3 linked regions of the Caenorhabditis elegans genome follow. The protein of the gene in region 3 interacts with the protein of the main gene of each other region in a pairwise test. Each region holds a gene or a part of one and is shown on either strand. Other genes may lie near its edges. The genes, in order: ZK792.4, F09F7.5 and ccm-3.

Region 1 (3,756 bases), on a different chromosome or scaffold from region 3:
TGCATTTACCATTTGATTATCAAACTTGATTGCGGCACGAAGAAACTCAATATTTCCTTGTGCAGCTGCCACATGAACTGGTAGCATTTTGCAGTTATTATCGAGAAGTGCAAGTGCTTTTCCAAATTTTCTGAGCAACCAGATGCTCATGTCAGTGTCACCACGAGCAGTTGCGGCCATAAGAATGGATGTTCCGTTGACGTCACGGGTCATTGCACAATTCATTGTCGATTTTAGGGAGCCGCCAAGAAGAATTTCAAGTGCTCGCATATCTAGGAAAATTGTATTTCAAAATCAGTAATTTTATCTTTTTAGAAACAATTTTTAAGGTTTCATTGTGGATAACTATTAAATCAAATACGCCAGGGCTATTGAGATTTTAAATTTGTTTTATGGTAATTTCGGAATTTTTAGAACAGATTACTCAAAGGCTCGCGGATTTCACTCTTTTGTTCCCCATTGTTCTTTATTCAAAGCCAAATTTAAAAATTAAAAATTAAATATTTTCATCACAAACTTTTTGGCGAGAATTGTATGAATAAAACCTTTTGGTTTTTTTTTTCACTTGAAAATCTTCAAATTTGAGCTACATTCACATGGAAAGCTGCTGAAAATTTCTTCAATCTAAAGTTTTCTGTAATTTACACCCATAAATTGAGAAAAGCGCAAAAACTGGCTCGTCCAAAAAAAAGTTTTTTGAGGTCTTCATTATAAGATTAGAAGGCTCCCTTCCCAACATTTCCAACTCAGAATCCCCTTCTCAATACCTCCATGAGCAGCCGAGATGTGTGCTGCAGTTTCACCATTCGTCGACTGGATGTCCCTAAGCTCGGGAAGTCTGTCCAGTAAGTACCTGCAAAAAATCTCAATCTCTCGTCAATGACCTGATTTCTCTTTTTGTTTGCTCTTCCATCTCCCCTTCCAACGCATATCAATTCCGAGCTGATCTGCCGGAAGGGAAAAGCACTCAATTGCCCTCCTTCATCTGCATCTTTACACTCACTTCAAAATGTTCAAATTTCCAACCCGGGCTGCCATGTGAAGAGCATTTTGACCGATAGTGTCCTTGGCAAGCAGGTCATTGTTCGAAAATCTGGAATTTAAACATTTGAAAGTCTGTCGTTCAAACATACCGTATATTCTCTATTAGTGCTGTATCTCCAGTAGTACTGCAGTCTCTAATAGTGCTGCATTCAAAAAGGGTCCGAAAAATAGTGCTGCAGTCTCTATTAGTGCTGCACCCCATTTTCTATTGAAAGAGTTACTTGACAGTTTCGATATTTTTGGTTTTTTTTGTATATTTTTGATGATTTTTTGATAATAAGTAATTGAATTATTGGGTTTTTTTGTTACAAAAGTTCGCAATTTTTATGAATTTCTGCTTAAAAATGAGTTTTTGGGACTAAAAACTAGTGATCTATAATTGAAAATAGCCGTTCGAAAATTAATGCTGCAGTCTCCAGTAGTACTGCAGTCTCTAATAGTGCTGCATTAAAAAAGGGCCTGAAATTAGTGATGCATGCAGCACTAATAGAGAATATACGGTAACTTGGGTGCCGCTAAACCTAGGCTTGCCAAAATTTTGCCCAACATTTGCCTTAATACTTTTTAGGCCAAACTTGGGCAAGAAACTAGCGAGAAATGAAATAAATTTTGGCATCTTTAGAAGCTTCAATGACTGAGATCGTGGTGAGACCCACTCAGAAAATCGAGTCTTCAAACTGTCATAAAAGTTCAAAATTTTGTTTGAAATTTTTTTTTATAGTTCTGAAATCATATTTCTATAATGAACAAAAAGTTAAACGTGGAGCATGAGAGCAAAAGTAACTAAATTACATACCTCGCCAAACATTGCACATGCTTATTTGTAATTGACATAATTACATCTTCACACACATGATTCTCATCTAAAGAATTTTCCTCACCAATTACTTCTAATGGCAAATAGTCACCGTTACTGAAATACACATTTTTGTTAAACATATTTCATAAGTGTTCTTACTCTTCCAATGATCCATTGGGACCACTACGTTCTGATGACATTGAAACTTTGGAATTCTGAAATTAAAATGTGATTGATCATTAATGATTAAATAACCTGTCAATTGAAATGCGAGGAAACGTGAAAAGAGCGCGAAACGAATATTTGTTCGATCTTTTGTACTTGATGAGATTGGATTTCAATATTTCAAAGTCTATCTAGTCTTAAAAAATAAGATCAAAGAGCCAAACGGCAAGGCAGTGCCAAGTAAACTGTTTTTTTAATTCACACTCTCCGGGAAAATAAAATACAATAGAAAAAATAGAAATTTTTAAATTAAAAAAAAACATAAATCAGTGTTTTTTTAATATTTCTATTTACAATCTTACTTTACAATTTACTCCACAACTCAATTTACAAAAATTTACAAGTCGAAAATGGCTGTCACACATTGATATATCATAATTTTACATAAAAAACCTTTTATATTTTATTAATTTTTAAATTGTATGTAACAAACAGTAACAGTAGGGCTTCGAACATGCAAGCTTGCTAGAAATTTCTCAAAAAAAAATCTTTGAAAATTTAACAATTTGCAAAAACTTTGGCTGACAAGTTTGGAAAATTCTAAAGCATCTTCGATTGTTTCAATTAAATAAACTTTTAAACCACTGTTCTGTATTTTTAGCAAACTGCCAACTGACGCTACTTCACCATTAAACTTAAGATTTTCGCAGGTTGGATTATTTAAGACGACTCAAAATTGTGATTCTTTGTAATCAATAATCAGGCGGTAAGCAGAAAGTTGAAAAAGCGACAAATATTTCAGACTAAACAAGTAACTAGTCCTGTATTACTTGTAAAAGTACTACTTTCGACAAAAGTTTTGTATCAAGGACTCACTCTTGAATGTGCACAAACGAGCACAAAAAGTGAACGAATTGGAACGTGCACAGACAAAAAAATGAAAAAGTGGAATAGAAGAGTACTAAACCGAATTACTGTTTGAGAGGGAATGTGTCTCTGTTGACATGCGCGACACAAGAAAAGACTTACAAATATTGAGCAACTTCAAATAAACACAGTTTTGAGCACAAATCAGACGAAAATATATTTTTTTGAGGAAAATCAAGAACTTATTTATGGTAAATTTGAAATATACTTGACTTTAAAAATTGAACATTGATGTGAAATATCTATCTAAAAGACTTGTCAGAAAAAAATTTCTTTGAATATTGTTTGCACAGTTCTGAATTTTTTCCAAGTGTATTCTATCTGGAATGTACTCTAAGAATATATATATATATAAACTTTTCAGTCGACATATTTTTTCATACAACAAAAGAAACTCGAGATATCAGCGTTCAAACCTTAGAAGTGGTAGTTAACGATGCACCATGTATTGAAAATTTACCTTACATTAATAGCACATTTTATTTAGAAATGAGCAAAAAGTATTTCACAACCAAACTGTAGAAAAAAGAAATAATAAATATTTTTCAGTTGAAAACACACCTTTTAACACCTTCAAATAAATCTAAAATCTAAAAATAAGGATAATAATGCGTTCCTCAAGCCATATGCACTCCAGAACTGGAAGTAAGGGTGGTGCTCCTACTGGCCTTTAACTTAAGCTACGTCCGAGCCGAGGAACTGTGACCAAGGGTGAAAAAGATCAAGCTAAACTTTAACTATATTTCAGACTCGAATTGAAGAGTTTCACACATAATGGTCTATGGAAAAATATAAATTTTCGAGCAATCAGTTAAAATATC
Region 2 (3,756 bases), on a different chromosome or scaffold from region 3:
CCAGAGAGTTAGGCTTCGGTGCAACGATTCGGTCGGCGGTTTGGATTTTTGGAGGTGGAGCTATGTGTGTTGAGATATTCGAAGTGTGGGAGATTGACCTGAAAATTGAAAAATTTTTAAACTTCAGGGTCCAATCAAGAAATACCGAAAAACTACAGGTTGCTCTGAGATTTCTGATGTTTCCTCCTCGTCGTCTTGGGCGTTGAAGATCAAATTCGGCTTGCTGTTCCTGAAAGTTTAATTCTCAACCAACTTTTGATTCAGTTGTCAAATTTGAAAGCGCCAGTAAGAAACTTAATTCTAAAGGAAGTACTTCTTGGAATTGAGGTAAAAAACTAATTCAAAAACTGTGTTGTTAGAAAATGTCATACAAATACTCACTGTGGAGGAGGAGTAGGGGGAGCTGGAGCCTTATAATTTTTCTTGCTCGGACGTGGTGGAGCAATATTTATGTATTGGTGGGATGTTGGTTGATTCTCGTAACCTCTGACAACTTCAACCTCTTCTTCACTTTTTGAAGCTGATGGGAAAGCATCATCTAGTCCAACTCTCTGAAAAGTTGAACTTTTTTGGAGAAAAGTAATTAAATAGTTCCCTACATCTTTTTCTTTTCTCTGCGATCGGAGTGTACTATTCGACGAGGAGGGTCTTATGTAGTAGCTGCTGAATTCTTTATTCATCCACATTGAATTCAAGTAATGCTTGTAGATCACAAACCTTTCATTAACCGTATCAATCACATTATCGCTCGTCCGAAGATTTTCAATTTCCGATGATCCCATTGGACCGACATGAGCCAAATGCCTGTAATATAAAAATTGACTATGATAGATTGTTTAAAACCTAAAACACAATGAGTAAAACTAATACGAATGTAACTAATTCGTCTCCGAATCTACTAATTGTAAGAAACTAATTCGTATGAAAATTGTAAGTTTTAGACGTATGGAGGCACGGGAGAGTACAGAGAAGCTGAGTGTCTTAACTCTCCTCCTCTCATATCTTTTTAAACAATTAAAATGGCGAATTGCGAAAAAATTGAGAATTTAAAAAATTTCAGGTAACGTGATTTGTATTATTTTATTTTATTTTTTACGACAATAGCCCATAGTGTAAGATTTAACGCTTGGTACCTATAATATATAACAATGTTTTATCAATTGTTGCTAGTCCACGTGTGATTAGGTACTACATAACAATTTTAAACTTAATATTCATAGTTGACATGTATGCTAGTTTTGCATTATTGTTTCTATCACTGATTATTTTCATGACTGAATTGTTGGCGGTTCCAGCTGTGTCAGCTAAATTACCTAGCAAAATGGTAAGTTTTGTTTCCAAGGTTTCTGATTTCTAAAACTTGGAATTTCAGTCTATGGATGTCAATATGATAATAAAAGAATGTTGTAATGAGATAAGTGTAGAGTGTTGTAAGCCTAATATTTTTGAATAAACTGTTCATGTTTCTAAATGTTCCTCATTTCTAAATGTTATATCAATTAAAAAAAGCACAATCAGCACAATCAATCAGCTATTGGCTAAATCTTGATGAAAGTTATTACACTGTAAAAATGGGTTGGTTAGAGAGTGTGGGGGAGGGGAGAGTGCAAGAACTCCGCTTCTTTCTCGGGCCTAAAACGTCGACATGTCATAATCCCGCTTGAAGCTAACCTACTAATGTTCTTCAAGAACGAATTTGCAGATACATTCCAATTCGAATGTACGGATTAACATAACATCCTCAACTTTTATTCCTTACCTGAAATCCGACGGCAGTGAGATCATAGTTTTATCCAAGTGTTTGTGCTGATTCTTCGGAGGCAGCAACGGCAAGTCGTTGGGCATTTTCCATAAACCCGGTTCCTGTCTTAAATCAAGAATAAAGTAACAAGAGGCAAAAAAAATCAATGGTCAAACCACGCAAGTTGTTGCAAAAACTGTGGAGAACAGACACCCGGAGTAACTGAGAGAGAAAGGGGAATAGAGAAATAACCGATAAAAACGTGTAAGCAGTTGGAAAAAGAGTAGTGATAAGGAATTATTGAGAAGGAGGTGATGTGTTGAAAGAATGATTCATTTGGAATTGGAAGCCAAGAAGTTTGAAGCTCCAATGACACCCGTGCTCAAGCTCCGCCCAAAGACGCTTGTAAGGAATCTTGAGTTTTGTAGCATGGCGGAATATTGAAGCGTCGTTCGATGGCTCCAAAATTTTGACCACTTTCAGGTACTGCATAAAATCAATTGAAAAATGTTAAAATTCAGATTAACATAGAAAAATCTAGCATAGAAACTACCTTTCAAATATTTCAAAAAGTGTTATCAATTTCTAGCAAATAGCAAATTGTTCTTGCTGATCTCCCATAGATTACTCAGATCAAATTGACAAGAGACGCAGCATGTTGAAGTGAAAAAAGAAAACATGTGTCGATCTGATGAGTAATCTCTTGAGGCTAAAAACCGGGTTACGGAAGGGTATTATGTATATGTATACTCTAGTGTTTGACTGCAAGTCGGACGATATTTCGCAATTTGTTTAACATTGATTTACGAAACCTTTGATGTTTTTAATGTATTACCGAAGATTTACTAGGATTATTTTTGTTTCGTAAAGAATTTAAAATGTGTTGTCATATTTGAAATAATGTTTTAAGCAACTTTGTTCATCATCAAAATTTAAAAAATTCCAAATATTAGTAGTAGTTTATTTGTTTTAATGTATAATATAAAAATCTTTAAAAAATATTCTTCTATTACATATCATCCAAAATTCCGATAGTCCGTCTCAAAATCTCCTGAGCTTTGTGTTCCCTTTCGTCAGCTCCACTTTTCAAATCCAAACTCTCATCCTTATACATTTTGTAGTAATACGACAGACTGAATAGTGACGTGGCATTCACAAAATTGAAGTGAGTTCGATAGGATTCTTCGAGTTGGGAGAAAGTGAAGGGAGCCGTGGAAAAATGAGATTTGAAGGTCGTATAGTAGTGGTTCAGGTATCTGGAAAATGGAAACTGACTCTTTGTTTTGAAATGTGTTTTATATCTCCGAACCCGATTTTCAAATCTCGGCCAAAAAGCGGGCCATTTCAATTTTTACTTCTTTCGGTTATTGAAAATGTTTAGACTTAGAAAAAGATACCTTTGAGTATTTGCTCTTCGATTTTCCACTGACAATCCAAGGCACAAAATACGAATAATATCAAAGGAGACGGGACCCTTTGACACGTGCTGGAAATCGATAAATGCCTGGATCTGAAATTATTCAATTTTATTATTAGGAGTAATTTTATATTCTATGACACGTAGTCCTCTTGGACAACTCTACCTTTCCAGTTTCATTATTCCATAGAACATTTGACGCGTTCAAATCATTATGACATATCACCAATGGCATTCCAAGTTTTTCGTTTTTCTTTTCGGAATTTCTAACTCCATCTTCATCAAAAGCATGCTTAACTTCTTGAATTCTTCCGGAGAGCTCCGCCGGGCATAACTTTTCAAAATCAAGGGTGTCGTTGTGCTGGAATTTTGATTCTGAAGCGTGAGAAAGAGCCGCTCTGGTTTTCAGGTAAGCAAAACACCATACACCATATTTACGGGTTGTTGTGAAAAGTCAATTTCCAATAAGTTCCAAAAATATTCGGCCACCAATTTTCGCGGCCATCAAAGAGATGTGCCCAATTTTAAATTCGAAATTTGAAAAGATGTGCCCAGATTGCAATCGATTGCAATATACTCTTTTTTTTTTATTTCTTAC
Region 3 (3,756 bases):
AAGTGCCATTTTATCCGGTTTTCCAACTTTCATCGCCAGTTGGCATAACTCTTTGATGTAGTTTAGGACAATGGCCTCAAGAGTGTCCAGGGTCTTGTCGTATGGCTCCTGAAACATTTATTTATAAACAATTCAGGAAATTATCAATCGGAATCTTAGAAAAACCGCTCATTTAATTTCTTTTTAATTTGTTATAGAAATGCAAATAAATTTTGATTCAAAAAGTTGCACAGCCCTGTTACCAACCTTATCATCTCCAAAGCCATAGACCATTGATCTCAAATCTCGTCTCAGCACGTGCTTCTTATCCTCCGGATTTACCACCTTCTCCTTGTCATCTTCGGCATCCGAGCCGAACAGATCCTCTTCGTCATCCATTTTTTAAATTCTGAAATTAATTTAAAATTGGTCTGAAATTTTTTAAAGTGAAGTTAATTAGATATATAATAAGTTTTCGACAACAAGAATTGCAATACAGTCAATTAAAATATTAAAAATTTCTGAATAATTTATCACGTTATTTGGAGAAGAAACCGACTTATGGAAAAAAATCTAGTACATCAGTGGGTGAAAAAACGAGGAAAAATCAAAGAAAGGCACATGAAAAAGAAAGGAAGAATGATAATTGAGCTACTTATTACAATATTTTTGAAGTGAAAAAAATCCGAAAAACCATATAAAGCATAATACGTTAATCATTTTCCTAAAATTTCAGTCAATAAACAGAAAATTGGGAAAGGAAAAATCATAGAAAGAAGAAAGTGTGCAGATCCGATGTATAAAGTGATGAGTGTGTGGATGAGAACAAGAAATTAAGTGAACAAAAAATGAAAGTAAAACACATGCAAAAGGAAAGAGCCGTCTAGTAGATCACAGTTATAAGCCGCCATATGGGTGAGCTTATCCTCGGCGAAGTTTTTCGTTGATTGTGCGGACTATCATTGTCGTTTGGAAAACCAGTTGGTTGGCGGACACGGATACCTGCAAACATTGAATTTAGGCTCAGAATTTGTTTTAAAAAAATGGATTTTAATATTATTCAAGAATTTAGTTTGATTTTCCCAAGATTTGGGGAAAATTTACAGGTTTTTATTTTAAAAAAAAGTCCAAATTTGCCGAATATCGATGTGAAAAAATTAAAAAAAAATCTCCCTGATTTTATATTTCAGTGCGAATTTTTTCCCAGAAAAACCGGGGCTTTTGAATTTTTCACATAGATATTCGGAGTCAAGGACAAATTTCGACGCATTTAAGTAAAAAAGCACATTTTTTCCCACGAACCTGATTTGCATTCTGATCTTTAAAATACGTCTTCAAAGTGTTACTGAATCTTTTCGAGTAGTGCACAAATTCCCGTTTACGTTTCTCAACGGCCGGCTGCGCAGTGAGTGGAACAATTCTGTAGACGGCGTTTATTGCCTCAAGAAGTTTCTTGATTGATGATGCGATGAGCTTGATGGTCTCCAGGAAGGCGTGACGATCCGACATTTCTTCGGGAACCCGGGACAGAACACGACGAAGCTCGATTGCTCTGTAATTTTTTTCGTACGCCAGGAATTTTGAAAAAAATTATCTAATTTGATTACCGTTTCGTGAGCTCTTTATAATCAGCATTCTGCTCATATCCACTGACAATCAAATCATTTGTCGGCGAGGTGTCATGCATTCTCAGATAGGATTCCTGCAGATTAACGCTCAATTCCGAGTCATCCAGCAAAACTTTTGTGAAATCATAGAGAAACGACGGAGAAGCTTGTTCACAAGTGGTCAGTGCAGTGTGCAGTTTCTGAATAATTCTTTGTTAATTTATTTTTTTTCGTTTAACAGTATAAAATTCATAGAAAATATTCTTATATAGAATAGCTTACGTTTAGGGCGAGAGAAGCTCTTGGATCATCACGATGTTGCTGTCTAAAATATATTTTTTAAATTATTATGTTTAAAAACTGATATTTCTTGAAACCCACTTAATTTTTTCCATCACAGGACTGTACAGGCATTGATATGTCATCGCTCCAAGATATCCACCCTCTTCGTTCATTGTGAAACTGCTGAAATGAAAATCATGATTTTTGAGTGAATTTTAAGAGGAGAAAGCTGTGTTAAAAAAGGAAAAACCCGCATACGATCGATTTGCATCGCAAATACATACAGAAATCAAAAGCGGAGAGAGACGCAGATAATAAGGCGAAAAGTTGGAGAAATACAGAGGAAAACGAGGAGAGTAAATATAGGAAGAAAGTGAACGGTCGGAAAGGAATGTGAAAGCAGAATTCGAATTCCTTGGAGAAACTTATGAGTCATTATAATAATAATAATAACGGTTTTTATCGGTTTCGCATGATAACCCACCCAGAAATCGATGCAATTGTTTTTTAATAGTTGAATTAATATTGTGAAATATAAGAAATAACATTAAATATGTTTTTTACTTGAAAAAATAATGAAAATCGCAAAAAATTGATAAAATCTGTTAAAAAAAGAACGAAAAAAAAAAAATTTAAATGAAATGTTCGCATTGGAGCGCACTTGCTGGCACCAGAGATGCTGCAGATTTCGAGATGAACAATTCTGGAGAACAAAGTTCTTGGAAAAATTTTAATATTCGACGTTAAAAATATATTTTATTAGTGCTTAATTTTTTAAATAATCAATTCAATCGCGAAAATGTGAACAAAATGTTTTTACTCAACTCAGACCTCGGTGGAGGTAAAATTTTGCAAATTTTGAAATAATGAATCTTTCAATTTTTAGCCTAGTGCACTAGCTAGTGTTATTTAGACATATAAATGCAGATTTTGCAAATAATAATCTCTGAGAATAAACAACGATTTCCAATATTCAATCAGATTTTCCTGAAAATATATTTTTTTAATTATAATTGTCCAGATCTGGCCAGATAAATTTCATGATTTTTCCCAAAGAATACGGTAGCAGGTCTCGTCAAATTTTCGCACACAAAAAGGTGTGTGCCTTTAAAGAGTACTGTAACTTCAAATTTTTGTTTCAGTGGATGTATTAAAGTTTTTTTTGTAAACTTTTCGAAAAATAAAAAGTTCTTCATCGAAAAATTAGTGGAAAATTATTTTTTCGTAAATCAATAAAAAGAAATTACAGTAATCTCTAAAGGCACACTCACTTTTCTATTTAATGATGGTGTTTCGCGACGAGACCCGGTGCCGTATTTCTGGGGACTCTATTATATTTTCAGCCCACCAGTGAAGGATATCTGTCAATAAAATTATGATATAGTAAAGAATCTCCGGAAAACAAGAAGTCACAAGTCCAATTCCCATCAATCTGCGTCTCAAAATCTTCCGTAATATCTTTTTTCTCCCGGCTGTCCGTCTCATCTTCCGTGTCATTCCTGCCGATCAATAGGAGATCCACTATTCACACCTTTGTTACGCTTCAGAGTATATTAACAATAGAGTCGAGAAAAAAACATTGAAATTTGTTTCATTTTATTGTCTTTTCTTTTCTAAATTGCTCTCAAAAAATGTGCTGATTTCATTTTTCTAGATGTTTCCTTTGGTCAAAGGTTTCGAGAAAAAACCAGTTCCCATTCCAAAAAATAGGTAATAAAATTGCGAACATGTACATTCAAGGTATAGACTCCCAATCAGGAAATCTCATTTCCTGTGATAATTCTGTTCTCTGACCGAGTTTCATCTTTTTTTTTTGTATTTGGTATTAATATATGGTCAAAGGCATAGCCGATCATAGATCAAACATTTTCAAAACAAAATAAAACTT

Evidence for each region.
Region 1: the proteins of ccm-3 (region 3) and ZK792.4 interact in a two-hybrid assay, tested with the Caenorhabditis elegans proteins (one large-scale study listed by BioGRID).
Region 2: the proteins of ccm-3 (region 3) and F09F7.5 interact in a two-hybrid assay, tested with the Caenorhabditis elegans proteins (one large-scale study listed by BioGRID).

What each region holds. Positions count from the first base shown.
Region 1 is NC_003282.8:11,679,948-11,683,703, forward strand, and holds the start of ZK792.4 (ANK_REP_REGION domain-containing protein), read right to left. Parts: upstream 2,059-3,756; 5' UTR 2,044-2,058; coding exon 2,003-2,043; intron 1,958-2,002; coding exon 1,841-1,957; intron 1,674-1,840; exon of another isoform or gene 1,524-1,673; intron 1,094-1,523; coding exon 1,004-1,093; intron 988-1,003; exon of another isoform or gene 854-987; coding exon 768-853; intron 273-767; coding exon 1-272.
Region 2 is NC_003281.10:5,545,221-5,548,976, reverse strand, and holds the start of F09F7.5 (CRIB domain-containing protein), read right to left. Parts: upstream 1,868-3,756; 5' UTR 1,846-1,867; coding exon 1,760-1,845; intron 805-1,759; coding exon 718-804; intron 664-717; coding exon 600-663; intron 552-599; coding exon 382-551; intron 230-381; coding exon 146-229; intron 99-145; coding exon 1-98. Other genes in the region: putative kinase-like protein D1044.1, read right to left, coding at 2,751-2,997, 3,139-3,251, 3,325-3,519.
Region 3 is NC_003280.10:10,605,225-10,608,980, forward strand, and holds ccm-3 (Programmed cell death protein 10 homolog), read right to left. Parts: upstream 2,052-3,756; 5' UTR 2,042-2,051; coding exon 1,968-2,041; intron 1,912-1,967; coding exon 1,869-1,911; intron 1,787-1,868; coding exon 1,587-1,786; intron 1,532-1,586; coding exon 1,282-1,531; intron 982-1,281; coding exon 901-981; 3' UTR 493-900; downstream 1-492. Other genes in the region: taf-13 (Transcription initiation factor TFIID subunit 13), read right to left, coding at 1-108, 247-378. UniProt on the Caenorhabditis elegans protein: Involved in excretory canal elongation during postembryonic development. Plays a role in promoting Golgi stability, ER integrity and vesicle transport probably by regulating the activation of Rho GTPase cdc-42. Involved in fertility.